4 linked regions of the Struthio camelus genome follow. The protein of the gene in region 2 interacts with the protein of the main gene of each other region in a biochemical or structural test. Links are inferred from orthologs where the notes say so. Each region holds a gene or a part of one and is shown on either strand. Other genes may lie near its edges.

Region 1 (7,423 bases), on a different chromosome or scaffold from region 2:
TAAATTATTTAGCTGTTTTGGTGTAGCTTCTGTTTGGCTCTGCCTGACCGTATCCAGATATTACTACAGAGAAGTGGCTTAATTCTGGCCAGCTATGTCCAACAGCATCTTTATTCTAGCTGAACTGCATATTGCTGAAAATAGTGGTAGTGTGATTATAAAAAAGAATTCTTCCCTTTATGCAGTACTTATCTAGCATTCAGTTTATACTGCTACCTTTTAAGAGTACTCAATAAATTGAAGAAAATGAGGCCTATTCCTTGTATTAAAGTTCCAAATCCAGACTGTGGCTTCAGTTACATTTGTGATAGCCCTTTAGGCCGAATGACTTTGTGCTGATACAAGCGAAGATAAAGTTTGTTCATAAATCACTATTCAGTTTTTAATAAAATAGAATTTATATTACAGCTTGGAAGACTAACTGTAAGAAAACTATCATTAATGGAAAACACATTGTTCTACCATTTTAAGCCAAGAATCAGATGAAAAAGTAACTGTTTTGTTTATTCTGAGCTTTCTTGGCAGTCCTGCTTTGTGAACCTAGTTTTTGAATCCGCAAACCAGTAGCGTCTGATAGAGAGGATCTGAGCAACTGTTCATTTATAACTTCAAGAACAATCTATTGGCGATGGGAGAACATAAGGTGGGGCACTGGGGCGTGACAGTCCTGATGTAGTTTTGCCTTGACCTAACATTTTGTGAGGTGTTGCAGTTGTGTTTAATTCATCTTAAACTGGGCAACCCAATCAAGTTATGTTTATATTCATCATGCCTAATTTGAAGTTGACATGCTTCCCAGTTGTGTTAGCAAGTAGAATGTGTCACCAGCCAGCCAGATTATCATACAAAAGTTCAGTGCATCATCTAAATAGAACCGTTATATTCTCTGCGATGTGATAATCCCTGTTTTTTTTCTGCAGAGTTCTTTGCAACAGAACCACTGGAAAGAACTGGAAGAGAGTCGGGAAAGACAGTTCAAGATCCTTCAGCATGGCTTCATGGCCAGAGAAACAGCTCAGAAAATGGCTGCATATGAGGCAGCAAAAAATGGAGCCACAGTTTGTATACTGCGATCTGAAGTAAAATAAAATTCATTTGGAAAAAAATCAGACTTGCTGGAAAACTTCTCCCAGTGTGCCCATATACTACAAGGTTGAATTTTAACCTTTATTTCATCTTTACAGTTTGAATAGCACAACTCTGGTCATACAGGCACATTTGAGTCAAAATTTGTTATTTTTTTGTCATGGAATTTTTATTTTTAATCAGTAATGACCTATTTTTCCAGTTAGAATCAAAAGCTGTAAGAAACTGAGCCCTTGCAACTGAGGCTCCTGTGGCAGAATGACAAATATCTGGATAAGAATGCTGTCTGTATTTCTATTATCATTATATATTATACCATGATTTGCTACATTCATCTTCCTAAAGAATAAAAATTAGGAGAAAAAAAAGTACAATGTTTGTTTACATATGTATTTTTTCAGAAGGCACGGTCAGCCCAAGTTCCCAATACATCATCTTACCTGGCAGTAGCAGTGCATAGCAGGACCACCAGTTTCAATGCTGGTTTTAGAGGGTGAGGGGAGAACTGATGGCATACAGCAGCCAGAGAGTAGACTAACTGACCTAGACATACTGTTCCTATATTTGCAGAGGTGAATCTTTTTTGTCTTTGAATGGTGGAAGGAGAACATAACATTCTTTGATCTCTCTAAGGAACTGCTTCCAGAAAAAGGCAAAAATCTGTTACTCACCTAGAAGATAATTTGCCCTCTGTGACAATTTCTATACTGTGTAAAAAGGCCTTCAAATCACAAGATTTATTCTAGGCATAAAGCCAAGGAGGATATAAATCTGGATTAAAATCTGCACAGCAGTAAGACTATGTAATGTATTTCTATTTTAAATTTGTGCCAGTTACTAAGTGTTTAATTATGGCTATTGCAAATATTTAAATTGAATGAGACTGTCGCTGACATTAGAGTCAGGCAGCTGCTTTTAATGCTCTCACAACATTGTATTTCTCACTTTTTGCTGAAGGAAATCTAATGGAATTCTTTTGTTGCCATCTAGCTGTGAAGATTGCTTCCACAATCTGCAATGCTGACAAAATGTGCTGTATTTTTTGTTCATTCTGAATGCTACAGCAGTTCAGGAAAGCAATGAGATTCATGCAGTAGCTCAGTAGGAAGAGTTAAGGATCCTAGGAGAGTGGGAAGAAGGAGTGATAGATGTAGAACTGCGGAGAAGTCGGAACTATGACTCTGTGTCTAGTAGAGGGTTGGAATAGCTTAAAATGACAAGCATTTGGTTCCACAGAGTTTATTTTCCTTTGTGTTTGTCCAGCACCACGTTGTGTTGTATTCCACAATGACAGAGCGAAGTCTGGACTTGAATGCCTCGGTTTTCCAGAAGCTAGCAAATAATAGGACTAACAGTCACGGTCTGGGATTTTTCACAGCTGACTAGTACCTCTGAAACTTTTTGTTATACCATGCATTTTGAGAATTAAGAAAAGAAAGATTAATCTTTAGGCAAATAGACAGGCATATCTACGAAAGGTTTTCAAATTTCAAAAATTTATCATACTGCATGCTTCTTCCTCTGGGGTGTTGGACCCAGTCTTCAAAATTCGGAATGAACTGCAATCAAGCTGAGTCGTAACTATTTCCTTCTCCATGTTCTCCCCAGCTCTCAAAATGAAAGGACTGAGAAATAGAGCAATCTTAGTAGTTCAGCTGTGGAATTCAGAAATAGCCTCATTCTTGCTACTTTAGGACCTAATGCGTGAAGTCATTTTATAAGCAATGTTTCAAGGAATGTAAAAGAATGAATCTTTTGGGAAAAATATCAATTTATTACTTTTTTTATATAGGTTATTGATTTTACAGCGATGGGAGGTCTTGCAACAGAATACACAGAATAAAATCAAAGATACTACATTCCTCATGACATGGTGCACGGAAACCTAAGGTGATCCAACACACAGCCGGTAAAGGTCCCACACGACTTGTTAGCTTTCTGTTACAAAAGTAGCTGTACTGCTGTTGGAGCCAACTTAGCTTTGAAGCAATGCAGCTGCATTCACTCTGTGCTGCCTCAGCTAGTCTGTGGCACAGATAATCCACAACCTAGTTAATCCACACACAGGTAAGTGAGAGCTGGCAGCGCACGTACGCTCATCACACTTTGCAGAAACACAGCTACATGAACGATCCCTATGAGTCACTCATTTATGGATTTGTTACTGCATTTGTCTCCAAGATGATGAGGGCAAGTGAAGAAGGCTGAGTCTTAAATAAGCTACCAAAACACATTTACAAAATCAGAGGTTTCACCTGGGTATCAGAGGTTTCACCTGTGTTAGTAACAGAATCAGAAAGAAACCCCTCTAATGTCAGGAGCTGCACTTTCCAGAGTCACGCAGATGAACGTGAGGCATCTTAATACAGTGTGAACGACCAGATACTACGTCCTTTCACGTGGAGCTGCAGTATAACTAGGCCCAGGTTTACTGAGGAAGACCACGGGATGTTAGCATGCTGTGCAAGCTCCAGCAGCAGGTAACGCCGTCACTGCCACCTGGGACTCGGCTCCGTACGCCAATCCAGCCGGCAGCCTGCTGGCGGCCTGGGGTCCAGCTTCAGCGCCCGTCCGGCTGGGTAATCGGATCGGTCGCAGACAGCACAGGGAGAGATGGTGTAGTTATTTAAATGAAACCAAAGACGCGTACGGGCTGCTGCGCCGGAATTGCAAACACCTCGTCGAGGAGCGTTCAGCCGGCGGCGAGGAGAGGGCAAGAAGTGCCAACGCACAACGCCGCCAACACGCAGCCAGGCAGGGGGCTATTTAAATCGACGAAAGGCCAAGCGGTCCTCGTGCTTGGAAAAATAACTTTCGATAGGGAGGCAGAGGCACAGAGATACCATCATAAGCGTTTATAACGAGTTAACGCAGAGTGAGGTGCGCACTAAGCGCATCTAAGGCAACAGGTGGCTCGCTCCCAAGTTCATGCTTCTGATGCGCTTCTGTCGGTCCGTTCAGAAGCACAGCTGGGTGACTGCCATTTTGTGGGGGGAAAAACACCCAAACCCCCGACTCGTACTGCCTTGCTACACCCGCCCAACACGGCACGACCTGCCCTGAACGTCCCGGCAGACGGACAAACACCTGCCTCGGCCCCTTCCCTTCAGAGCCGCACAGACCCCAGCGGCTGGGGAAGGTTTCCGAGGAGCAGCCGCCGCGCCTGGGCAGAAGCCCTGGAGACCCTCGGGGGCCGCGGGCCCGGGCAGCCCCACCGCGAGGGGCCGCGCCGCCCCCGAAACTACAACTCCCAGAACACCCCGGGGCCGGATGAGGGGGCGGGGCCGCCCGCCGCCAGGGCTTCCTTGACTGACGTGCCCCACACCCAGTCCGAGAGCTGCAGCTTACGGTTTCGCCAATGGTAGGAGGGCAGGAGGCGGGCGCTGCCCTACGCAGTTGCCGGGCCGGGCGCCGAGGGTGAGTGTTGCAGGCCGGGGGGCTCCGCTGTGGGGGGGGTGGGAGCCGCGGCCGGGCAGCGGCAACGGCGCCCCCGGGCCTTCCCCGCCGCGCTGAGGGGGCCGCAGGTGAGGGATGGAGGCGGTGGGGGTGGGGGGCACCGGGCCCGCTCCCGGCCGCCGTGGGGGAGGAGCGGGCCGGGCCGGCGCCGAGGGCAGCGGGGGCAGCAGGGGCCGCTTCCCCCGTGCGGGGCCGCGCCAGCGCCTACGGGGCCGGGGTTGGTGGGGGGAGGGAGGCGGCCTGGGCCCGGCGCCGCCGCCTGCCGCCCCCGCGCTCCCCGCGGCCTGTCGTCCCTCCGCTCGTGGCGTCCCTGTCGCCCTCCCCTTCTCCCCCCGGTATCTCGTTGGGTTTGGGGGTTCCCCCCCCCACACACACACCCCCCAGCTTCGCTCCGTCACTCTGAGGGGCTGCGGCCCCGGGGACGGGCCGTGGCGGCCGCCCGCTGCCGCTGGTGACAGCCGGGGGGCGAGCCCGGCTCGGGGACGGGCCTGGGGCCTGGCCGGTGTCCCGGAGCGACCGGCGAGTTGGAGGGGGGGGCGGCTCAGGGGAGCAGGTAGGGTGCGGGGGGGGGGGGTTAGGCCACCCCCCCGTTGGGTTACCGCAGAAGCGGAGGTGATGTTTCTCCTCGAGGTCTTGTTCCCTCTACCCCTACGTCTCCACGCCGGGCTCTGCTCCGTTCCCCTTTCTCTGCCCTCCTCCGGGGCTTTGGGCTGTGAGCCATGTCCGCTCTCTGGGATAAACAGCCGCGCGTAAGAGGAGCGAGGAGCGCTTCTGGCCGGCCCTGGCCGTTTGCAGCGTTCCTGACATAGAGCATCTGGCCAGCTGGAGGCTTCGGCTGTGTTCTGTGCTGTGGGTGGTTTTCGTTTGTTTTTGTTAGGCCGCCCGTAAGCGTGTGTCCTATTTGTCTGTAGATGTAGCTGGCCGCTTAGAGCGGGTCGTAAGTAGTAGGTTGTGCCTCTCTCATCTCTAGTCTTTTTATAGTGCCTGTCAGTGAGGTTTTGTAGTATGGGACTGCTTGACCTAATTTGGATAAAACATAATACACTCTGTTTCTGTTTTTACTAAAGTTGGTGAAGAACCTTTTTTTTTTTTTTCCTCATCTCTAATGGTAGAGAAGATGCACGTGATATGGAACTTTTGGAAGAGTAAAATGGCAGATTATTTTTCCTGCCATATGACAACAATGCTAACGCTTTGCCATAGGCATGTGCTTCTTCTGATCACAAAAAAACGCTTCTAGATGCTTAGCCCTTTGATACTGTCTTTCCTGTATTAAAAGTGCAGTGAGACATCTTAAAAGTGCAAATGAGAAGCAAAGTCTTAAAGGCATAGCATGTTGTATTTTCTTGGCTAACGTGGTGTATTTTGTTTTTGACACCTTTGCCTTGTACAGACCAAACGTTTACTCTGAAACTGTTGCTTTATTCAAATGTTTTCTTTAGAATATTTCTAATGCTTAGGATGTTCATGAGGTCAAGTTTGGTCTATATTAGTCAGACACGGTAAAAATGCCTACTTCTTGTTTGGGCTGATTTGCTTCAAACCATAGTGAGCCTGTGGGAGCCCAAGACTTTGTTTTCAGAGTGGTGTAGGAAAAGTTTTAAATGTATTTTTAGTGAGTTAAAAGCTAAATTCTAACATGGTAAATTCAAATTGAATTTGGTGAAAATATTAGCTTGGGGGGAGGGATTAACGACTTAAATCAGGCATAGGGGAATCAATATTCTTTCACTGCTAATGGAGACATTCTTAATTTAGGTGAGTTTACCTGTACTTTTCTCAAGTAGTTACCTGTTGAGAGAGAGAATGGTGGATATAGCACTTAAAATCCCGGTAGGTTAGCTAGAATAAACCTTGAACTTTGCTGTTATAAGGACATAACAGTCATTAGGCCCTTGGGAGGGTTAAGTGATAGGAACAATAACTGTCTGTGGAGAGCTCTGTATGAGAGGAAGGGGAGTGGCTTCTCCTGGTTATATATCATCCCCCAGTGATACAATAAAAATCCTATAAAAGTTAGTAATATTTAGTGGCTTATCAAGTTGATCTGTTAAGGTTTTGCATTTAAAAATCATTGTTTTTTATTTTAAATTTAAAAATCTTAATCTTAGAATTTCTGGATTGGTATCTGAATGCATCTTGCTACAAGTATAATAGATGAGCTACTAACAGCTTCAGCTGGAGTTATTTGATGCTTTTGGGGGGTAGGAGGTGCAATAACTCCGTTCCTGGTATCTGATTCTGAGAATCTTGATGCTGAGTTTCATAGTGACTGCTGGAGGAGGACCATATAGACGTTATTACTGAACTTGGACTATTCAGGACTGTATACAAAATACTGTTAAATTGGGTGGTCCTGGGGTTTTGAGAACCCTCGAGGAATTTTTTTGATAGGTAGATCTCTAAATGTGAGAAATTTGAAACTGCTTTGTTTATCTCTGTTCTTAAACACTGCTAATTTGATCTGCAGTGTTTTAAAGAAGGCAAGTTTTGCTTTATTTTTCCTATCCATTCTTGCAATTCAGAGAAGTGATCTTTGCAGTGGAATTTCCCTAGTAAGCTAAGAGCGTATTTGGAAATATGTAGCCCCACAGAAGAGGTTTGTTTGTTCTTACGAGAAAAGAAGTTGCCGGATCATAAGATTCCTTCCATAACTTTAATAAATTCTAGCAGTTTGGTTTTCTTTGAGTATAATTCTTCTGATTTGGCAGGTTCATCGGTATTAATGCAAGCCGAAGATGATTTTTAAAGTCCTTTTACAATTTTGGGCTTTTCTATAGATATCCATTCTTAACACTTTCTCTTTTGGAAGAAGCTGACAAAGAGGTTAAGATGTGAGCCTTTAGCCCGTGGAAGAGCACAGGAGTGTTAGTGTCTCACG
Region 2 (7,318 bases):
AAACACAACAACAAAAAAAGCAATAAACCCCTTTTCTTATAGCATTAATTTAGTGGCTTTCATTCACGACCAAATAAAAATCAGGCTAAACTTTGAACAGACATTTGTTACAGTCGTTTCCATTGCATGTTTTCATGCTTGCGTGCCTGCAAATGGCTGGGGCTGTTTTTCCAGACCATTTTATGATATGTTATGGACCCCCGCTGGCCTCTAGAGCGCAGGTTGCGGAACAGCGCTTTGGCTGTCAGACACTGCTGTCTTTCCCAAGAAGTGAAAACGGCCGCTGCAGCAGGCAACACCACCAGGTAGTTATTTCTCTTTTGCTGGAACCCCGTAAATAAATACCGTATAAACTGAAGGGTATTTTGAGGGGAACTGGACAAATTCATGGAAGAAAAATTCCCCTCTGGACGATGGTATGCGGGAACTCCAGCTCCAGCTCAGGAAATCCCTGGGCCGCAGCTCTCGGGAGGCTGGGGAATATCTGGGGGCGTTTGCACCGCTCGCTTGCCTGTTCCTACATCTGCTCCGGGCAGGCGGCCCCTGCAAGAGCTGAATGGCCCGAGGGCTTGTCTTGGGATGGCTCTTGCCGGTGAACCCTCCTTTGTGGGTAATGGGCATTTCTCTCGGAAAAGCCTGACAGAGCTGGGCAGCAGTACGTTTGCCGAATGTTGAACGTTTGCATGTGGTTCAAGAACCTCTGCAAAAAGTAATTTGAAATGTTTAAGCTTCTAGTGTGGTAAGCGTGTGAGCCTGACTGTGTGCGTGCAGCACCATCTACTGTATTACAGAGATTTTGGTTTTCCTCCTTCCCTGGAAGCGGGGCAGCGTGTGTGCTCAGCGCACATCTGTACCACAACTGCCATGCCCAGCACGGCGCGAGCCCGTGCCTTGGCGGAGGGCTGACTGGGAAGGCAAACGCTGCCTATGTTCACAGCAAGCGTACGAAATCCTTGGAGAGGGAGCGTACGCAATGAGGAGGGCACATTAAAATCTGACCGTACAGGCTTGCGGAGGTCCGGCTGCGACTCACACCTGTGAGCTGTCTGAAGCCCACGTGGGACTAAACATACTGCTTTCCTTGAACCCGCATTCAAGAATCGCTGTAAAACTCATGAAAAATACTTGTCGCGGGTTTGCAATAACTTCAGCGCTCTCCTCTCCCTCTGTCCGCTGGAGATACAGTACCAATGCCCTCTGCCGACATGAGAGGATATTGCCTCCCGGGATGTTGCCAGAAGAGATGGAAAGGCAACGCTTAGCTAAACCAAAGCGCCCTTTGGAGCCTTCTTCAGGATCTGTACCGTTATCCCCAGGGACCTGGGCAAGCTCCTGTCTGGGACTGAAATCACCTGGCCAGTATTTGGCTCCCGGATACCTGCTAAACACAAGCTCTCCCACCACCTATGAAGCCCCTTTTCACGGCAGGGTCCGATCTGGACGGAGCGGCTCTTTCACCAGAAGGAAGGGGTTTTTGCAGCCGGGGGGAGGGAAGCGGCCACGCGGCCAATTGACAACCTCCAGAGCTGCCCGCATGGCCAGAAAGCTCCCTGCACAAGGCGAGGCGGGTGGGGATCAGCCCCTCCATGATTGCCGGCCCGCGCAGCCCGGTCGCAAGGACGCAACGGTCCTGTCAGGTCGGAGCAATAACCCATCCGGCTCAGCAGCCTCTTTCCACCGGTGGCCGCCAGCAGGCGCCTAGAGAAGAGTTGAAGCAGATACGGAGCGATACCCCCTTGGGAGATTTTCTCAGGATGCCAAGATTGGTAACTCAAGATCTTCCTGAGCCACAGGCGCTGTCCTTCAGCGGAGGTCCTTGCTGCTGCGGGTATGCCTAATGCCGCCTTCCCCAGCCCGCGCCAGACGTTAGCCTCCACCACGTCCCACGGTAGCGCGCCCCACGCGTACGCGTCGCTCGTCTCAACCCGCCACCTGCGACCGCCGGGGAGCTCGCGGCGCTTGCAGCAGCCAGCGACCGCTCTGCCGGCCCTCTCCTCGCCGCCGGCGAGTCCCGCTGCCTCCTCCTCGGGCTGCCGAGCCCCGTACGGGCGCCCGCCGCGCCGCCGCACGTCCTCGCCGCCCTCGGCTAGGCCTTGCCCGCTCTGCCCTGTCCCCGAGGGGCGCAGAGCCGCCCGCCGCGACCGGCACGTGGTCAGGGCCCGGCACCGCAGCGCTGCCGTTCAACCCGTCAGCCCTGGTGCTGCTGCTGCCAGGGGGCCGCCAGCCTGCCGGAGGGGCAGAGCGGGGGCCGCGCGCCGCTCCTCTCGCCTGCGCGGGGGGGACGGCCCGTCCCGGCGACAGGAGGGTTTAACGGGGGGCGCGAGTCCTCGCTGTGACCCCCCTCTTCTCAGATTCGCTGTCTGCAGAGCGGCCGGCGGACACCTCCTCACCTTGGTTATTCGGGATGGCGGGGCGGCGGCGAGGGGCGGGTGAGGGTTACGGACAGGCCAGCCCGGGCCAGGGTCTGCCACTGTCGGGGTCGTCACTGGGGGCTGGGGGGCGCATACCTGAGGGGGACTTTTGCTTTTACGCGGAGGCCTCGAAGCCACCTCATCAGCATCTTCTGCGAACCGTAGGGACCGCGCCAGGCGGTTTTGTTTCGACCTTAAACCCTAACGCGTTATGATATCGTGTCTTCTTCGAGGAAGGACCGTGCACCATGTTTGAGTTCGACTCACCAGCTACAAGTCTATCGCTTATCGTCCTGCCTTCGGTTACCAGGGAGGAAAGCAGGCGGTCCCCGGCCGGGACGTCTCTTGCAGGACCGCGCGGCCGCCGGTGAGAGGCACCAGCTCCGCCGGGCGTCCGGGCGCAACCGGAGGGCTCACGAGGAGAACGGCAGAGGGCCACCAGACGGTTCGGCAGCCCCTCGGCCGGTGCTCTGCCTCTCCCTCCTCGCGCTCGGCCCCCCCGGTGAGTCCCACCGGCGCCCTGTGCTGGGCTGCAGCACCCGGGGTGCTCCTGTCCCCCCGGGGTGCTCCTGTCCCTCTGGGTGCTCCTGTCCCCCCCCAGGTGCTCCTGTACCCCCGGGGTGCTCCCGTTCCCCCCAGGTGCTCCTGTCCCTCTGGGTGCTCCTGTCCCCCTGGGTGCCCCTGTCCCCCCGGGGTGCTCCCGTCCCCCCCCGGGTGCTCCCGTCCCCCCCAGGTGCTCCTGTACCCCTGGGGTGCTCCCGTCCCCCCAGGTGCTCCCGTCCCCCCCAGGTGCTCCTGTACCCCCGGGGTGCTCCCATCCCCCCAGGTGCTCCCGTCCCCCCGGGGTGCTCCTGTCCCCCCGGGGTGCTCCCGTCCCCCACCCCCCCCCCGTGAAGCGTCGTGGTGACTCATCCTCCAGGCACAGGACCATCGGCCGGACCCATGGGTTCAGCCTCGAGGCGTTTCCCGCCTCGTCGCCTAGAGCATGAACTGCCAGGGGGGCAACCAGCGCGTTGCCCCAAGTTTGGGGCAAGCCCGGTTGGGGGGGGGGGGGCTCTTTCCAGAGGAGAGGTCACAGAAGCAGCTAAATCCTGTTGGCCCGCCGCGAGGTGCAGCCGCGAGGTGCAGCTCGTCCTCGGCCGCTCAGGCACCACCGCTCCCCAGGCCAGCGCAGGGGCAGCCCGGGCCCCCCCACCGCCCCCGGTCCCATGGGTGCAGCCCCAAAAGCGCTCCCGGGCGGGGGGCTCACCCGCACCCCCCCCCACACACACAGGCAAGCACACCACACACTCGCACACACGCTGACACGTGCACACCCCCCCACACACACGCATGCACACACAACACGCTCGCACATGCACGCCCCCTACACACGCGCACACAGCACACCCAACTCGCACACACGACACATGCCCGCTCACACAGACACAGGCGCACCCCCCCCACACATGCACACGCTCGCACGCGCAAACAACACGCGCAACACTCACGCGTGCACACTCCCTGCATGCAGGCAACCCCCCCACACGCGTGCACACCCCTACGCACACTCACTCATGCACACTCCGCACACACATGCACCCCGCCACACACACACTCCCCACGCACGCACACCCCCACACATGCACACACCTCCCCCACACGCACGCACCCCCATGCACAGTCCCACATGCACGCACACCCCCACACGCACCCCCATGCACTGTCACACACACACGCACACCCCCCCACATGCACACCCCCTACACATGCACACACCCCCCCCACATGCACACCCCCATGCACAGTCACACACACCCCCCCCACACGCACCCGCCCACTCCCACTCGCCCCCTCCCCCTTCCCCGCCGCCGCCACGTGACCCGCCGCCCCCCCGCCCCGCCCCCATTGATACAATGTAGCAAAGCGGAACGTTCGAGGCGCCACCAGGCGCGCCGAGTCGACGCCCGAGCGGTGGATCCGACTAGGCGGCGGAGGCGGGGAGGGGCGCTCGGCGCTCGGCTAGCGCACCCGGCGGGCGGAGGGACGGGCGGACGGACGGAGGGACGGGCGGACGGGCGCGGGTCGTGTCGGCGGGGGCGATGGCGGAGCCGGCGGAGAAGCTGTACCGGGCGGAGTACGCCAAGAGCGGCCGCGCCTCCTGCAAGAAGTGCGGCGAGAGCATCGCCAAGGACTCGCTGCGCCTCGCCCTCATGGTGCAGGTACCGCGTGGCGGGGCCGGGGCCGCGGGGCGGCGGCGGCTGAGCCTCTCTCCGCCCCGGATTTATCGGGGGGAGGGAGGGAGGGAGGGAGGGAGGATGAGTGCGGCGACTTGCGCGGCTCGCGGGGGCTGCCCGCGCTGCGCACCGCGCCTGCGGAAGGAGATAAAAATAAACACACAAAAAATAAACCAAAAACCCCCCACCCTTTCCCCGCCCCCCTTTTGGGGGCAGGCGGCGGCGCGCCCAGCTTCCCCCCCCCCCCCCAGCGCCGGGGGCGTGCGCGGCGGGCCGGAGGAAGAAAAACAGGGAGAAAAGGGGAAAGAGCAGCGTCAGCAGCCGTGGCGCCCACCCCCCTCCCCACCCGAAACCACCCGTCCTAACCGCCTGCTTGCAAGTCGTTGTCCCCCCCCCCCCCAAAAAAAAAAAAAACCCAAAACTGCTGGTTTCATGTGGTCCCTTCTGCCGCGGCTCCCTCTGCCTGCTCTGGGCCAGCAGCGCTCCTCGGACCGTGCTGCCCCTCTTCCCGCCCCCCGGGAAGCCCCTCTCGGCCCCTCCGTCAGCGCCTTGCGCTCCTGCTGCCGCGGAAGAAACCCGAGGCAGGCGGCAGCTCCCGCCGCGGCCCCCTCCTGCTGCAGCCGTCCTCGCCTTTGGGGGCTTTCCCCCCCAGGGAGCCCTGAGCCACGCCGGGGGGCCCGGCGCTTGGCGGGGTTGCTGGCACCCGGTGCCGCAGCCTCAGCTCTTGTCCAGCTTCTGCTTCCAGCTGGCACTTAGCAATTTGTGTTATCTGCACGTGTGACGAGAAAGCACTCCTGGCTCCCCTTTTTTCCCCGAAGCTTGTTTAGGAAACTGTGGTCTGGAGATAGGTGCGCTGGGAGAAGCTGAGTAAACAAGGTCGGGCTCGCCTGGAGGTTTTGTTTCCCAGGCGGAGTGCAGTTGTGCTCCAGGCGCTCGGCGGTAGGGGAGGGCTCCCCACCGCTCGCGAGGTTGTCCCCAAGGGTCTGTAAGCTCTACCCCCTCCTGTGCACCCCTGTGCCTTACCCCCCCCCTCCCCCCCCCAAAGCCTTCATGGGGGGAAAAGGCTGTGGCTTGACTCTGGTGCCACGAGGGGTCTACCACAAAAATGCTGGGTGCCTTTTCTGCAGCTAAGGGATGGCCAAGCTGTGGTGTCACGGGGGGTGCGTGAGGCTGCCCAGCACACCGAGAGCAACTCCCACGGGGCTGCTGTGCCCTGAGGTTACTGTGCCGTCCAAATCCCTGCTCACGGGAGGAGCCCGGCAGCTGGAAACGTGAATGCCCTTTCACGGTTTTGGCGGGAGGTTAGGTGGTCATCCAGGGCTCCTGGCTCTCCTAGTGCCATGCTGTGATCCTCAGAAGCCCTTTCCTCCTCCGTCCTGCTCGTGGGCAAAGCTTTGCTGTTGCGTTTGGTTCTCCTGTCCGTAAGTGGTACGCAGAAGGCTTTCCTAGTTCATTAATTCTGTATCTTTAGTAATAAAAATAATAGTACAGCACTGTGTGTTATTAATACAGCCATTGTTTGTGTACATCCCTCGGAGCCAAACCGCTAAGCCGTTATTTTGTCTGATTGGTAACCGGAACGATGTCGGGTTGGTACTTGATGTGTCTGAGTCATGACCGAGCAGCGCGCTTCCCCGGCGAGGCTGGTACAAGGCAGGGTGCTCTGGATTTGCTCTTTGGGGAAGGAGTTAGGTTGTGGTTCTGTCCTGATGCAGAACTTCTTTGGACTGTAATGTTGCTCTGAAGTTTTGCCTCTGCCTCCTGCAGCTCCCTAGGCAGGAGGCTGTAGTGGATAAATCCCCCGGAAAACAGCGCTTGGCTTATCCACTGTCTTTGTTTCGATTGCTCATCCCTGCCGATGGCCTGATTCTCATTGAGAAGAAACCTCTCCTTGTCTGCTCAGGGTTGGTATAGCCCTGCTGAGGCTACAACCTTTTTTTTTTTCGAGTAATGTGGAAGGGCTAAACAATAGGGTGACAAACTGCTTAAGCTGGGTAGACTCTCTTTCTGCATGTATCCCCTTTGAGTCCTCTCCCCAGGCACCTCGTCTGTCACGTTGGATTTTCTTCCTAGGCTTTGTCCTAAATTGCAGATATCTTTTTAATTGGAAAAAAAAAATTACTTGTGTTTACCCAGATATTTCAATTTTTATCTCCCTTCCCCCCCCCTCACCCTCCCCATGATGCTGTCTGACTGGCTTCATCTTGGCCTAATTTTACTTTCTTCCTAGTCGCCCATGTTTGATGGCAAAGTCCCTCACTGGCATCACTACAGCTGCTTCTGGAAGCGGGCTCGAATTGTGTCCCATACGGACATCGATGGCTTCCCTGAGCTCCGATGGGAAGATCAGGAGAAAATCAAGAAAGCCATTGAAACTGGAGGACCTGGAGGAGGTAAGCAGAGGTGGTGTTGTGATGAGGCCAAGCAGGTGTTCAGAGGTTCAACAGGAAGCGTGCTTTCTGTTGTCAAGCTATTGACAGATTACAGTTAGGTGATTACCCTGTCCCTTCAGGAAGTGAGGTGGGCAGAATTGCCATGGTGACGGCGCACCGCAGACTAGGAAGCTGGCAATATGGTCTAGCCTCTGAAACCAGCAAGGGAAAAACAAGGCAGTTGGCAGATGCATTGACAGATATTCTTGTTTTCATGCCTGGTGTATTTTGGTTTCAGTTCCTTAACGTTAACAAATGC
Region 3 (7,009 bases), on a different chromosome or scaffold from region 2:
CTGTTGACGTTAACAGTGCAACACTGCTGATATTCCCTGTTTAGCACTTCAGATATAAAATGCAGTTTGTAGTTCACTTTTGTGCAGTGATTCAAAGCAGTAATACCTTTTCCTTTGTAAAGGAGATGCATCCTTTTCTTAAGCCCCAATGCCTTTCTTAAGGCATTGGCCTTAGTTATTAAAAAAAAAAAACACACACACACACATTTATTCAGATACTTATTCACTGGGAAATTAAGGTATTTTCAATTAAGGTATTTTCCTTCGTGTTTACTGTTGCTGCCCATTACAGTAGGAAATTCTTCCCTCCAGCATGGATATGTAATCACAAAAGAGCCATATACCAAGGTTTAACTAAATATTTTGCATATTTTCTTTCATACAGCTCACAAGTGAGCCTGCCTAAAAATGTCATTTCTTTTAGAATACCTCGATTTTTAACGTAAATGGTTTTTGTTTGAAAAATTAAGCTAACTGAAATCAACACTTTATAATAAGGCTGACATACAGTATAATACAGGAGATGTAAATATGAAGCCACTCAGTACATTTGCTGCAAAAGTTTTGAAGATATAAATTGCTGAAAGAAGTAAATGGTTAAGTACCTGAAACAGCTCAGACAGCTGTTCACAAGTATAGAAAAGATAATAATTCAGTGTTAGTACTGAGAAATCAACTGGATTGCTCTTATTTTCCAAACTGCTAATAAGAACTGTGTATGAGCGGCTAAGACTTGTGAGTTCTAAAAGCTTACAGTCTGTACAGTTAAGTATGAGGTTAATTTCATGCTAACAGTTTTAATCAGTTTTAAATGCAAATAATGGATTAATTTTTCCTTATATATCCAGGACTTTGGTATCATTTTACTGAACTGATTTCTTGCATTTTAATAACATTCCAATTTTACCAGAATGTCACAAGTAAAGACATTAGTCTAGTAGAAATTAACTACTCAGCACATATTTCCATATTTTGTCAGGCTTTCTTCCTAAAAGTATTTGCACTTTACAGTCAAGTAGCACTACTTCCAATCCAAATTCCTATTCTCCGTATTTGTAGCTTCGAGTGTCTTCACAAATTGGCAAAAGTGAGAACTTAAAAGGGATAACTGTATCCCAAACCAGAAACCAGTTAATAAAGGGCACCCAAAAGAGATCATCCTACACTTCCAAGTAAGTCATTAATGTTCCACTCGGATCTTTTATAATATTTGGAATTTATTCTCCTTTTGGTAGGAAGTTTCATATCAGGAAGATGAAAATGACCCTGCAAATTTACCCTCCAGCGTGCTGAAGTCTTGCCTGGCAGTTATAAACAGATAGTCCCGTATTTATGTGATATTCTCTGAGGCTGCAATCCATGCAATTACATAAGATAAATGCTATAAGCATGGTGTTAATAGTTTTCTCTAAGAGCATTGCTTCTGGTAATGTCCTTCCAATCCTCTGCACAGAAATGTCATTTCCTCCACCACATCCATTCAGATCAACGGTGACAATCTTCAGTGCTGAATGTGGGAGGATGCAAATTCAGGCAACATGAAAAACCCTGGCAAATCTATGTACTACAATACAGTGAATCTGCCTGGTACCTTAAGGACCATGCTACCAAAGTTTCATCTTAAATGCAAAGATAATACTTCAGCTTAGAAGACTCTATACTGCAAATGATTGGATACCAGAAAGGTATACAGGGGAGTACATGTTTGTCCTGTTCCTACTGTGGGTATTCACTACTAGCAAAAGCTAGTAGTGAAGCTAGTAGTGATTCCTGAGCTAGAGTGACCTGTAGTCTGATTAGGCATAGCCACTACTATGTTCTTACAGAGCCTTGCTAAATATCTCAATTCCAAACTTCTGCAAAGAAGCCACCAGACATCCCAGGTATGTTTTCACCAAGTGACATGCCATTGAGATGGCATTCAGTAACTGTTTAGTGAAGCAATCTGCATCTGGTGTTTTCCTGAAGAACTCTGAGACTCCCCCTCATTCCCCAAGTCATTTGTGACTGTTCACGATGTATTTTCTGTACATGCATCTGCTAATTGGCTTCCCTCTCTACTCCAGCATTTACTAGTTGAAAGGAATAAAGCAATTAAGGCAGATGCTGCCACAGGTATCCATGCATCAGGAAGAGAACTATGCAAGAGCAAGGACCCACAGAAAGGTAAGTATCCTTATTTTGCATCCTTGTGATACATAACTGGCTGAATCACAAATGTGAATAGGGACTGTTCATTCAAAGAGAACATAGTTACTGTTAAGTAACTCCGTTACGGAGATAAGCTAAATAAGGACATGATGAGAACAGGGCAAGTGATTCAAGGATCTGGGCTGTTTATATGAAGGTGAAATCATTATTTTGCATTCTTAAACAGTTCTGTGATGTGCCACTATTCCTGTTCTGCCTCATGATCTCGTTCAGCATTCCTTGCTGCAACAGGGAGATGTTCCAACCTAAGGTCAGTCCTTTACGGAAAGGTGTATGCGGCCAGCGGAGGTGAATCCAAAGGCTGAAAAGTTGATTTCAACTCTTTCCCTACACCTGGGAGACATGGGATTCCAAGCACAAACTCAGACCCATTCCAGAATGAGAGGTTTCTTTAATGACATATAGTTGTTGCAAATATGTCTGTGGAAGCTCTGGAAACAGTTCTTCCTTGTTTTGCATCTATGCTGGGAATGCCATCTCTTTAAAATATTGCCTAGTTAACTTTTGAGATTTAACGCAAAGATGTTACTACATCAGGCAAAAACTACTGTCCTGATAGCTCAACAGTTCTCGAGACCAGCCTAGAGAGGTGAAAACCAGAAAGAATACTTGTCCTCTCCATCCTTTCTGTAGGAATCAAAACTGACAAGATTAAATGAGACAATGAATTAATTAAAGACACATAAAAACAAAAAGCCTAGAAGGGGGCTGAGACATACCACTCAGCTCATGCCCTTGACCAAGGGCAGGAACTTGCAGCACATGTTGTCTAACCTACTTTTAAAGCCTCCTTTGATGAAGTCTCCACACCCCTCCCATACCCATTAGGCAATCAAATGCTTTAGCATCTTTGCCATTAAATATTTTCTTAATGCCTCACCTTCATTTTTCTTGCTGCAGTTTATACTGTTGACATCTTGTCCCCTCCATTACAGGCATGAATAGTAGGTTATTCCCTTTCTCTGGGCAATACCCTTTCATTTTCTCAAAAACAACTTATGTCTTCATATTGTTTATCATGTTTACAGTGATTCAAGGAGCGTAAAAAATCTAACAAAATTTTAAGTTGGAATTTTAAAAGCCAAGCAGAGCAAAGCACAAACAAAAATTTCAAACGAGGTCTAGATTCATCCTGCCAGCTTTAAGTGCCAGTTGCAACCAAATCCCAGATGTCAAGGGCTACAGAGAAACAGAAGTCCTCCAACTGGCATTTTAATGCATCTAAGATGAACTGCTTGCTCTTTGCCGCTGCCTACTCACTAGCTGGGATGTCGGGCAATGAGATTTCTAACAAAGCACATGTTTTGGATTAGGACAAAGTCAAATATAGGTGGGTTTTTTTTTTTTAAAGTTAATTTTAGCACTCCCAAGATGAGATACAATTTTAAATTTAAGCGCTATATAGGAGGTAATGCAAGAACCACTAACACAGAGAGACCACAGTGAGGCTTTAGCTAGAGGACTGAAACATCATTTAAATTTCAGTAAAATTAAAAAAAAAACGAACAGAGGAGCAGAATGTGATTCATGGCCTACATGCCACTAAAAATGCGTTCTTATAAACCAAGGAAAAAAAAGGAAACGACCACGGTACATAAAGCATCTATCTACCTCTTAAGCATCAGACAAAAACCAGGCTCGGGCCGAGCTCGAGCTCGAGCTACAGGCGGGACGCGGGGCGGCAACCGCCAGGCTCGGAGCTGCCGGCCCCGCCGGCGTCCGGGCAGAGGCCCCGCCCCCTCTGACGAGCCGCTCCAGCCAGCCAATCACCTGTGAAAGGCCCTCTAGGGGCGGGGCCTCCTACCACCAATCAGAGGCCCGGCTGCTCACAGCGGGTTGGGTCCTGTCGGCCTCGAGAGCGTCCCGGGGCAGGCGCGGCCTGCGGCACCGGCTTTAGCGCCCTGCGAGGGACCAGGCCAAATTAGGGTGCAGGTGACTCTCCCAGCGCCCGAGGTAAAAATTCACTCCGTTTCTTGACGGGGCTATAGGAGGCGAGAGGCAAGAGGAAGCGAAGAAGGCTTCAGAGACCCTCCCCCCGGGATTTCCCCTTGCGCTCCCTACTCAGGCATTGTTCCGGGCGCCTCGGGTCCTGTGTCACGAGGATGCGTAAAGCGTGGCGGACGGGTCGGATTCAGGGTCATACCGCGCCGGCGCAGCGGCACGGACGGGTCGGCCTGAGGGACACGCCATCGTGCCGCGCTCTGCACCGAGGAAAGAGGGAGGGAAACTCCGGGCCAGAGACAAAGGGGGGGAGCCGAGTGGGGAACATCCGGGTCACTCGCTGCCGCCTCAATCCGGGACACGCGCGGGTGCTGCGGCCGCTCACGGTGAGGCCTGGCCGGGCGAGGGGCCTGGGGCGGCGCGCTGGCGGCCGCGGCTCCGGGGCAGCGGGGCCCGGCCTGGCGCGCCCCGCCCGCGGCACGACGGGCCGGGCGGCCGCGGGGCGCGGGGGCCGGGCGGCTTCTGCGGAGACCGTGCGGTCGGGCCCGCCAGCGCAGCGCAGCGCTGCCCGCCGCCCCGCGGCCGCCGCCGGAGGCCGCGGCCGCCGCGGGCCGAGCGCGGCGAGGAGGGCTGGGCGGCACCGGGCCTGCGCGAGGCGGCCCCCGCCCCGGCGAGCGCTCGCCTGGGTCCCGGCGGGCGCCGAGCTGCCCCGCGCAGGCCTCGGCGCCGCCCCGGCCCCTCCGCCGGGCCCTGCAGGCGGGCGGCCCGCGGCCAGCGCAGGCACCGCTCGGCTCGCCCGGGGCCGGGTGGCGGGCGGCGTTGCTGCGGCGGTCCGGACCGAGGGCTCTCGCCGCGCCGCTCCTTCGGCTGTTCTGCTTGCGGCTCTGGTGGCCGTGTGTGTCGGGATAGTAACCCCTTTTGCCCTTTCCCCTGCCGCAGGAGGCGGTTTTCTCTCCCAGTGCGGCGCTGGTCTGTTTTGATTAAATCACAACCGTGGGCTTTCTCTGCTCTTCTGAAAAGTAAAGGTCTTCAAGTTCTTGGGCAAGCTACTCCAGTTTATAACTTATTCTTGTGCTAGTATTCAACCCACAGAGCGGGAATGTGAGGCCAGGAGTCTTAAGTTTATTTTAGGGTTGTTTGAAATGAGTAGGAACTAGTTCAAGTTCTTGACGTTTAAAGAGCATGCTGTTCATGTATTTAGGGACTTGCCACAGGTCAGAACTCTGTGTGTAGTAGATGTTGCTTTCCCGCAGCAGAACTGTTCTTTGTGAGACTTGCTTTTTACGTTTGGAAATAGATTTTTATTTTATTATCTCCCCTATTGGAGGATATAAGTAGCTATGATCTGTAATGGAACACAGCCGGTTCACTCCTACGATAAATGTTTTGGTTTTATTTTGGTGTGTGTGGTTCTTGTTTTTATTTTTTCCCCGAAAGTGGGTAGTAGTAGCAGCAGCAGCAGAGGCAAACTACAAAATAAGTTTTGAAGCTTCTGTTCGTTTCCTAATGTTTTGATAGCAATAAAAGAGGCATTTCTGCCTTTTAATGCGGTGGGGGGGGAGGGGGAAAGAAGGAGGGGAGTAGAGTGGAGTGGAGTGCAAAACCAAATGGAACGTGGAGATGGACCTCTTGTGCTTGCATGGCCCCTGCAAGATAAGGTTTATATATTTTTCCAGGGCAGAAGAATGTGTTCTTTCCAGTGATGCATCCCTTTAATGTGTTCTGACCTCAGTTCTGTTCCATAGCAATAAATTTCTCAAGTGGAGGAAATAAATCAGATGTGTTAGTGGGTTTTTTTTGGTTTCATTTGGTTTTTGGTTTTAATAAGAGCTGTTTTTTCAGGTTTTAACTATTTCAAGTTAATAGTAACATCTTGCATTTGCTAGAAATTGCAAGAGCTAAACGTTAAACTTAGGCATTTGGACAAAATGCTACTGGGAAACTACTACTGCAAATTAAAAATGCATAAATTGTGGAGGAAGATAAACATAGCAGTGAGGATATGAGTTCTTCAGTTTTATTTCTGAAGATCTAGTTTACCTACTATAATATCTCACTCTTTCCTGCTACTTAGTTACTTTTGAGACCAAAATATATATTTAGATGACCAATCTGTGCTTAGCGTATCTCAAGCTCCTGCGGAGCAGCAGTTTGATCAAGATGTCTCGATTCCTCTACTGAAGAGCTGCTAGACAGTGTATGTTAGAAATTTGTTAATAGATTGATTCCCTTTTGAGCAGATTCTAATGGGATCTTCATTCTAAACTGAGCTTTCAGTCTCAGTTGCACATCTACTTTGTTTGTGACAAGAGATGAGTGGTGGGGTTTTTTGTTTTTTGTTTTTTTTTGGATACTTGTCTGTTCTTGCAAGGGTACTGAAGCCTCTGAGCCTCATGAAGAGGTTCACCAGGCGCTGACCCATGCCATGTAAATATGTAAGATATTTAGATGCTCTGAAAAAGAAAGTGACAAGCTCCGGAACTGACAATTCTCCTTTTCCACATCCTTTTATGCTGGATGCTCCTTACGATCTTAGAGTCATGCAGGAGCCACAAAACTCAAAGTGAGTCCCCAGGAGTACAGGAAAATTACTCTCCCAAGACAGTTCTTGATTTACTTTAAAATATGAAAAGAGAAGGGAGAACTTAATGTGGTGTTTACTTGCATAGTAATAAGTGTGTAGCACTCACTGCCTGAAGATACCAATTTTAGTTACTTCAGCGTCCCTGGACCCTTCTAAGACATTGTAACAACAGTCTTGCAGAAGAGAGGCTAGAGGTAGGCACAAATATCAGAGGTCAAGTCCAGCTGTGGTTGAACTTTTTCCCAGTTGTATTCAGTAAAACTTAATCAGCAG
Region 4 (7,137 bases), on a different chromosome or scaffold from region 2:
CTGGTGCCTGCCACCACTGGCCCCAGGGCCCCCGGCATGGTGCTCGCTCCCAGGGGCTTCGCCAGCCGTTAAACACGCCACGAGAGAAAGCTGTGCGCTGCCGGGGCTGCTGTCACCGCCTTCACGTCGTCCCCAGTCATGCCACGCGCTCGAGGAGCCGCTACAAAGTCAGTGAGGGCTCCTCTCCTGCCAGCAGGAACCCTGCCACTGATTTCATTAGAGAGCAACCGAACCCTGGGGGAAGCCTTTCTTGGTTCGCTCTTACCCCGAGAACATGTTACGGCAGAGCGAAGCATGTACCTTGGTCTGTACAGGGCAGAGAAATAAAAGAGGTAACAACAAATTAAAGAAAACGAACAATTAAAGCAGGTGAATGTTCTGCTTTTAAAATCTGTGGGCAATTCCTTGCTGGCATTAAAAATGCAGGTGACGTTTTCTTTTTTTTCTATGGAAAACTTAAGTTTTCCTCTCTTTTTCCCTGATTTTCCAGGGGCTGCGCTGATTTGCATCCCGAGCATTAAGGAGCGGTTGGTGAGCTCAGCTGTAAATTGCAGAGCATTTGGGGCCGATTCATCAGCGCTGTGATCCGAGTCCTGCATCGGTGGCCCCTGCACCTGCAGGGACTCGTGGCACGCGGCTTCCTGCCCGGGGTGCGAAATCCTGTCGTGGCCTCCAGGATCAGGGCGACAGTGCCTCACCTCGGGTTCCCGTGCTCTGCAGAGCGAGACCTATCGAGAACAAAGTGCGAACAAACCCCCGCTGCAGCACATGCTTTATGCCCTCACGCGAAGACCTGGCAGCCGGGCGCGCAGCGAGGACAGAGCAGGGGGAACCGCCTGCGCGAGGCTTTCGGGGGGGGGGGAGGCTCCCCTGGGCGGACTGCAGCCGCCCCCTCGCAGGGAGGCAGCAAGGGCAGAGCCATGCAGGGAAGGCTGCGGCGCCTGGCGGGCTGCAGCTAAGCCCGGCCATCGCTGCAAGGCTGCTGCCTGCACTGCAATGTCACTGCAGGGCCTCTGCTCTCACTGCAGTCCCCTGCCCTCGCTGCAGAGCTCTGCTGCAATCCCCTGCCCTCGCTGCAGGCCCTGCCTGGCCCCCGGCAGCCCCCGCCGTCCCCGTCCCCAAATGCCATTTCTGCGGTCGCTCGCTCCGCTCCTGCCCCCCCCCCCGCCGCCCTCCGCAGGGCCCCCGCGCTGCGCATGCGCCAGCCCGGCCGGCGGAGGGGAGGGGGCAGCGCCGCAGCGCCCCCTGCGGGCGGGGAGGGAGCGCTGCGGGGCCGAGCGTGCCCGGTTCCCCCCCCCCCACCCCGGGGGGCGCTGCATCCCCGAAACGTGCCCCACAACGCCCGCCGATGTCCCCAGCCGTGTCCCCGGGGCGGCTCCCGCCACTGCACCACGACAGCAAGGGTGCCGGCGAGGCGCGCGCGAGGCCGGGGCTCTCGCCCCGCTGCCGCCGGCCGGAGGGCCTGGCCCGCGTCCCCAGCCGCCCCGGGGGCTGGCACGGCTGGCGATGGCACGGGCCCCCAGCGCCTGCGCTGGGCAGGACGAGGGGTACGGGCTGTAGGAGCCCTGGAAAGGCCACGCACCTCCTTGCCGCGCTCCCAAGCCACGCCTGGCTTGAGCGGGATGCGGAGGGAGGGGTGTAGCTGGAGGAAGGATCTGCAGAGCTGCTCGACTCCAGCTGGGACCCCAGGGGCCATAGCCAGTCCTCTGGTGAGCCAAAAGCACCCATCCAGCTGCCTTGCTCTTCCTTTGGTAGCTGACACGCGCAAGATCTTCGCCATCGGCTGTCCCTGGTAAAGCTTCACGAACCCACAGCTCTCTTCCAAACTTCGCTCCTACGCCAGGAGGTCTCTAAGAAGGGCCTGACATGCTGGTTCAGCCATGGGTGTATGTTCTTTGTCTCTCAAAGTGCCCTGCAAAATCACTGGGTGTTCACATTCTACCTTTTAGAGCAACAGTAACGAGCAGCCATCCTGCAGACGGTCTCAGACTGACACAAATGATTCCTCATGCTCCGGCAGAGATGAAGCAGGGATAATTCGATGGAAAGACATGGAACGACTACACAGGGTGAGAGAAGACCCAGTCTGCAGTTTTAGGAGGACTCCCTCATCTCCAGTGCAGGAACAAAGGCCAAAATCCCTTCACTTTGTTTTAGCAAATGGGAAAACTGAAGCGCTACGCGGTGAAGAGAATTACCTGAGCTAAGATCAAATTAAAAGGAGACTGAGAGCGAGGGCAAGTAAAGAGAGACTCCACAGCACAGCACAGCAGGATGCAACTCTCCATCTCCATACCATAAATATTTTGCATCTTTTTTTACGTCCTTCTCTTCAGCATCATAGAAGACTGTTGCTTTACTTCCATCAGCTGCAACATATTAAAAAAAAAAAAAAACCTCTAATAAATCCAAGCCACTTTGTCCCCAAGCCACCTCGCCAGGCAGCTCAGGTCGCTGCCAAATTCCCAGCACATCCCCAGCCCACCGGTCCCCTCCACTATCTGCGGTGCCCAGGGAGTTGCCGGTGGAGCTACGCCAGGAATCACCTTGGCCCCGGGAGGCTGTGAGCCCCGCGCTCCCCTTGTGACAGGATGAGTTATCAGCTGTTGGGGTTGCCACAGCAACCGTTTGAATTTTTTAGCACCAATGCTGGCTTTTGCCAGACTGGAAGGGGAGGCTGGGGAGCCTGATTAACATGTTGGCCTGCCTGGGAAACTAGCCCATTGCCTTTTTGTTTAATTGGCCTGGGGGACTGATGACAAGAAGGGGAAAGTGCTGGAAAGCCTCCGTCTCCTCCAACGGCACGGGGTCTTCGGGGACCGTCCCCTCTCGTGTACATCCGGGCGTGATGGGCCATCACAGCCCGCAGGCGCGCAGGTGCCCAGGGGCTCTCTGTTGTCTCCTGGTAATTCAGCCTGAAGTTGCCTGGATGTAGTTGCTCGGCCCACGTGAAAGGGACTGTGCTGGGCGCTCGTTCCTGGCCTCACGCTTAGAAACGGAGCACCCAGATCCCAGCGGGAAAAGAGTGACTTGCAGGCAGGTTTCAGCTGGGGAGAACTCATTTCTATCTACACATAAGGCGTTTTTAGCAGGGACGGGTTCTTGGAGGATCAGCTCCTCCCTGGGCACCTAGAAATATGGAGAGAGACACTGACCTGGGGGTTTCTGGGGCGCCGTCACCACGGGGCGGTCGGTTCCCAGCTGCAGCGCCGGGTGTCTCAGCGACGCAACGCCGCGTGCTCGGGAGGGCGCCGTGTCGGGTGACAGCATCACAGGAGTTTCTGGAGGCCTTGGTCCCTCAGAGCAGAGGCAGGGGGTTAACGGCCCCTGGAATAAGCGGAGTGCTCGTTATTGGTGTATGCGCAAGCGTCTGGCAGCTCTGAGGCCTGCGACTGAACAGCAAAGCCTGAGATAAGCAAGTGGAGGCTGCTGCCGAGGGAGAATTAGATTTGTGCCCTTTGTTTTCCTCTGACGAGGAGGGATCTACAAGCTGTCAGGTTCCTTTGGGTTTTTTTTTCCCCTCCAGAGGGTTTTTAACCTTAGAAATGCCTGTTTCAGCTGCCTGCTCCCCAGAAAACACCTTCCAGGCAAACTACAGGTGACCAGACCCAACGTCCCCGTATTTTAGGCCATTTTCAGAAGTGGGGGCAAACAAAAAACCTGCCCCTTCCCTGGGGTGACCGCAGCCGGACGCGGGCAGGCGCCTCCGGTTCAGGCCACCGCCGTGCCCACGAACGAGCCCGGGCCTCGAAGGAGCGCGTGGAGGTTCGGGCAGGGGTCAAGGCCACAGGACAGGCCGCCAAGGGCGCTCCCGCTGGCCCCGGGGCCTGTACCCCGGTTGGGGCCTGTACCCCGGTTGGGGCCTGGTGCGGCCTGCCTGCCCCACGGCCATTTTGGGGGTGCTGCGCATCGCTCCCTGCCCCCCCCCCCACCGTGGGCACACCCCTCCCCACCGGCTCCCCTCCTGAAGGGCGGCGACCCCGGGAGCCGCCATCGCTGCTCCACCCCCCACCGCCGCCCCCTCCTCCGGTAACGCTGCCGCCTCCCGGCTTCCCGGGGCGCTGCCCCTTTAAGGCAGCCGGGAAGGCGTGGCCGGGCGGGGCGTGGCCAGTGCGCCTGCGCCGCGGCGCCGCGGCCCGCGGGGAGAAGGGCGCGCGCGCGCGCGCGGATTGGGCGGCGCGCGCCACCCGCGGCCCCTCCCCGCCCCCCGTCCGTCCGCGGGCGTCACGTGACTCGGCGGCGGCTCCCGGCGCGGTGGACGCTGGAGGCCAAGATGGCGGCGGAGCTGGTGGAGGCGAAAGTGAGTGAGCGGCACCTTCCTCCCCCCCCCCCTTTCCTTCCCCCGTCTTCCGCCCCGCCGCCGACTGCGGCCTCAGGGCCGGGCCGCGCGGGGCGGCGGTTCCCGGCGAGGGGGGCGGCGGCGGCGGGGAGGGCGGCGCGGTGCGACGGCGAGAGCCGGGGGGGCGGCACCCCCGGGACCGGCCCCCCCACACACACTTTACCTCAGGAGCCACCGGCCCCGCCCCGGCTTCCCGGGCTCGGCCGCGGCCCCCTCACCGGGCCCAGCCCCCGCCCCCCACAACCGGGGCCTGCCCGGCGCCTCTCGCAGCCCGGCGGGTCCGAGCCTGCCCCTGGGTCCACCCCCCCCCCCCTTCCTCCCTCCCCGCGGCGTGGGCCGCGCTGCTCCCCTTATTAATTACGAGTAATTAATTAAGGCAGGTGGCTTCTCCCGGCCGCCTCCGCGGGGCTCCTTCCCACCCCCCCCTTCCCCCGCCCCGCCGGGCGCCCGCGCGGGGCCCCCAGGCGCCTCGTGCCCGCCGGGCGCGGAGCGGGGCCGCGGGGCGCGGAGCTGTCCAGCCGCCGGGGCCGGTTTTGTGCCGGCTCCGGCCGACGGCGGGGGAGGGGGATTCCGCGGAGGGCAGAGCGTGGAAGTGGGGAAGGAGCGGAAGGTATCCGGGGGGGGGGGGAAGCTTCCCCCCTTGATTCTGCGCGGCATGGAGCTTCCCGGGTATGTCCCAGGCGCTTCCAAATGAAGCGTTTTTAAAGCAAGCGTACCTGAAGTTGTACCGTACTTCCAAAGTGTCCTGTGCGCCGCAGCAGGCCTCCTGCGGAAAGGAGGTTCAGCAGAATAGGACCCGCTCTCTGCTTTATTATTATTGTTTTCCCTTCTCGGAGTCCCAATTTACTCTTCTCTCCCTGATTCTGGGACTTCTCTGTTTTGCTCTGTCAGCGCGCGGCAGCGCAGGGGAGCGACTCGCTGCGCTTGAGCAGACTGCACGCAACGGTGCCATGGCGAAGCTGGCGCTAAGGGTGTTTACTGCGTGACTTCAACGCACAGAAATTGTTAATAGCACCTGCAGGATTAGCTAATAAGTAAGGATGTGGCTAGATGGTTGCAAAAAATAAGATGTGGAGAGTCTATTTTAGGAGTCCCTGTGGTCTCTCCTCTCCCTAGTATTTGGCCCCTCTCAATTGAGCTGAGCCCAGGACGCTTCTGGAGGAGGTATGTTTCCAAGACTTCATCGCTTGCCTCCTTAGCAGATGTTTGAGTGACACAGTTTGCCACTCAGATGCAAGGCTTCCTTGGGGAAAGGAGCTGACTTAAAATTTAGTGTTAAAATAACCTCAGTAGTTAATGTGATCTAAGTACCGCTCGTACTGTCATCCAGATCTAAGCCTCGATGATGCATTTTTCTTTGTGTGAAACTAACTTGTTCTGTTGTTACTGTTCAAATCTGATCATCCTTCTAGGTCTTAAACCTTTCTAAATGTAAACTGTGGAAAACTATTGGGTCAAACTCCACTGTACGTACCTAAGGTCCCAAGTGACCAGCAGCGTAGGAGTATCTGCTGTGCTCAATGTGACTTCCCCGTTACTGCACGACTGAAGTGCTTCACAGCCTTGCTGTAATTATCTTTGCAAATATGCTGTTTATCCTTGAAGTAGTTCTGAGAGTCCAGTACGCTCTCCATTTTGTAGATAGAGCAAATAACGACAGAGGAACTGAACTTGTCCAGGATCACGCAGGTGGTATCTAGCGAAGCAGTGAAGTGAATCCACATCTCCTGAATCCTCGTGTTCTAGCAGTTAAACATCCTTTCTCTCCTCTTTAAAGTTACTTGCCTTTTTCTCACATCAAAGGTATTCTGGGACACATCTCAGCTACCAAAAAATCTAAACTGCAGCCAATGACATTTGTGTGAAGTTCTTTAACATCTCTTGGGTTTCCAGATTAAATGACAGATTTCATGAGAAAGGAGAAAATAAAATGATATTCTTTTTACAGCCTAATTCCCGCACAGGCAGATGTGGCTGTGAAATGTTTCTGGACTAAACAGTAGCTTTAAAAAATTAATTCATCCATGTCATCATCATCTTTTTTTTCCTCCCTCTAGGAAATTGTAAGACTACTATTTTAACTTCCACAGAAAACTGACTTTATGCATTTTTTCTTAAGTGTAATCAGCAAACAAGAGTGGAGGGTAGGTTGGGGAAAAGAGACTTATTGATCTCTCATCCCTGCTTTTGCTCTTTACTATGGAGCAGTTGAGCTTTCTTCTGGAATTCTGACGTTTTCCACAAACAAGGAAGGACGCTGAAGGAATAATCGTGGGTGCCTATCAAGTACATTCTCGTGCAACTTGCATTTTTTTTTTAATGTCCTTTATAAGCTTGCCTTGCACATTCATAAAGCCGCTTGCCATGTGAGAGAACTCAATCGTCAATCTGACCAGACTCTAGCATTAGTCCCAATTGAAATAATTTCTAGTTCTTAGTTTGGTGGAAAATCGCCTTCTAATATAGTATGGTCTTTGAATCTACTGACAAATTATAGGCCTTTTGAGTTTCCACAGCAGCAAGAGGAGTGAATTTGTGAAGACAGATAGTTTTACTGCTTATCAAAACATTGAAATCAATAGTACTAGAGCAAGAGCAAAAGCAGCTACTGGCTGTAATCATGGGAGAATGCTTGGCAAAGCCTCCAAATGGAATCTTGGAGGCATTGTTCTCATGGGAACATCCTTCTCCCTCTTTAATAGTCTTTTAATATCACTCCATAGCCTAAAATATCTGATGCCTTTTTTAAAAGGCCCTGCATATGTAGGGAGAGTTCTGGATTTTTTTTTTTTTTTTGC

What was found.
Region 1: the proteins of PARP1 (region 2) and RNF4 form a complex in vitro, tested with the Homo sapiens proteins (2 studies listed by BioGRID and IntAct, with this or other methods). The link is inferred for Struthio camelus from reciprocal best matches to the Homo sapiens genes PARP1 and RNF4.
Region 3: of the proteins of PARP1 (region 2) and UBE2I, one has a biochemical effect on the other in vitro, tested with the Homo sapiens proteins (4 studies listed by BioGRID, with this or other methods). The link is inferred for Struthio camelus from reciprocal best matches to the Homo sapiens genes PARP1 and UBE2I.
Region 4: of the proteins of PARP1 (region 2) and PIAS4, one has a biochemical effect on the other in vitro, tested with the Homo sapiens proteins (3 studies listed by BioGRID and IntAct, with this or other methods). The link is inferred for Struthio camelus from reciprocal best matches to the Homo sapiens genes PARP1 and PIAS4.

The regions. Positions count from the first base shown.
Region 1 is NC_090945.1:77,249,534-77,256,956, reverse strand, and holds the start of RNF4 (E3 ubiquitin-protein ligase RNF4), read left to right. Parts: upstream 1-4,418; 5' UTR 4,419-4,503; intron 4,504-4,515; exon of another isoform or gene 4,516-4,610; intron 4,611-4,686; exon of another isoform or gene 4,687-4,696; intron 4,697-7,423. Other genes in the region: CFAP99 (cilia- and flagella-associated protein 99), read left to right, coding at 921-1,088. UniProt on the Homo sapiens protein: E3 ubiquitin-protein ligase which binds polysumoylated chains covalently attached to proteins and mediates 'Lys-6'-, 'Lys-11'-, 'Lys-48'- and 'Lys-63'-linked polyubiquitination of those substrates and their subsequent targeting to the proteasome for degradation.
Region 2 is NC_090944.1:125,658,184-125,665,501, forward strand, and holds the start of PARP1 (poly [ADP-ribose] polymerase 1), read left to right. Parts: upstream 1-4,297; 5' UTR 4,298-4,492; coding exon 4,493-4,612; intron 4,613-6,857; coding exon 6,858-7,020; intron 7,021-7,318. UniProt on the Homo sapiens protein: Poly-ADP-ribosyltransferase that mediates poly-ADP-ribosylation of proteins and plays a key role in DNA repair.
Region 3 is NC_090956.1:243,445-250,453, reverse strand, and holds the start of UBE2I (SUMO-conjugating enzyme UBC9), read left to right. Parts: upstream 1-4,003; 5' UTR 4,004-4,164; exon of another isoform or gene 4,165-4,538; intron 4,539-7,009. UniProt on the Homo sapiens protein: Accepts the ubiquitin-like proteins SUMO1, SUMO2, SUMO3, SUMO4 and SUMO1P1/SUMO5 from the UBLE1A-UBLE1B E1 complex and catalyzes their covalent attachment to other proteins with the help of an E3 ligase such as RANBP2, CBX4 and ZNF451.
Region 4 is NC_090967.1:4,285,465-4,292,601, forward strand, and holds the start of PIAS4 (E3 SUMO-protein ligase PIAS4), read left to right. Parts: upstream 1-4,120; 5' UTR 4,121-4,273; coding exon 4,274-4,300; intron 4,301-7,137.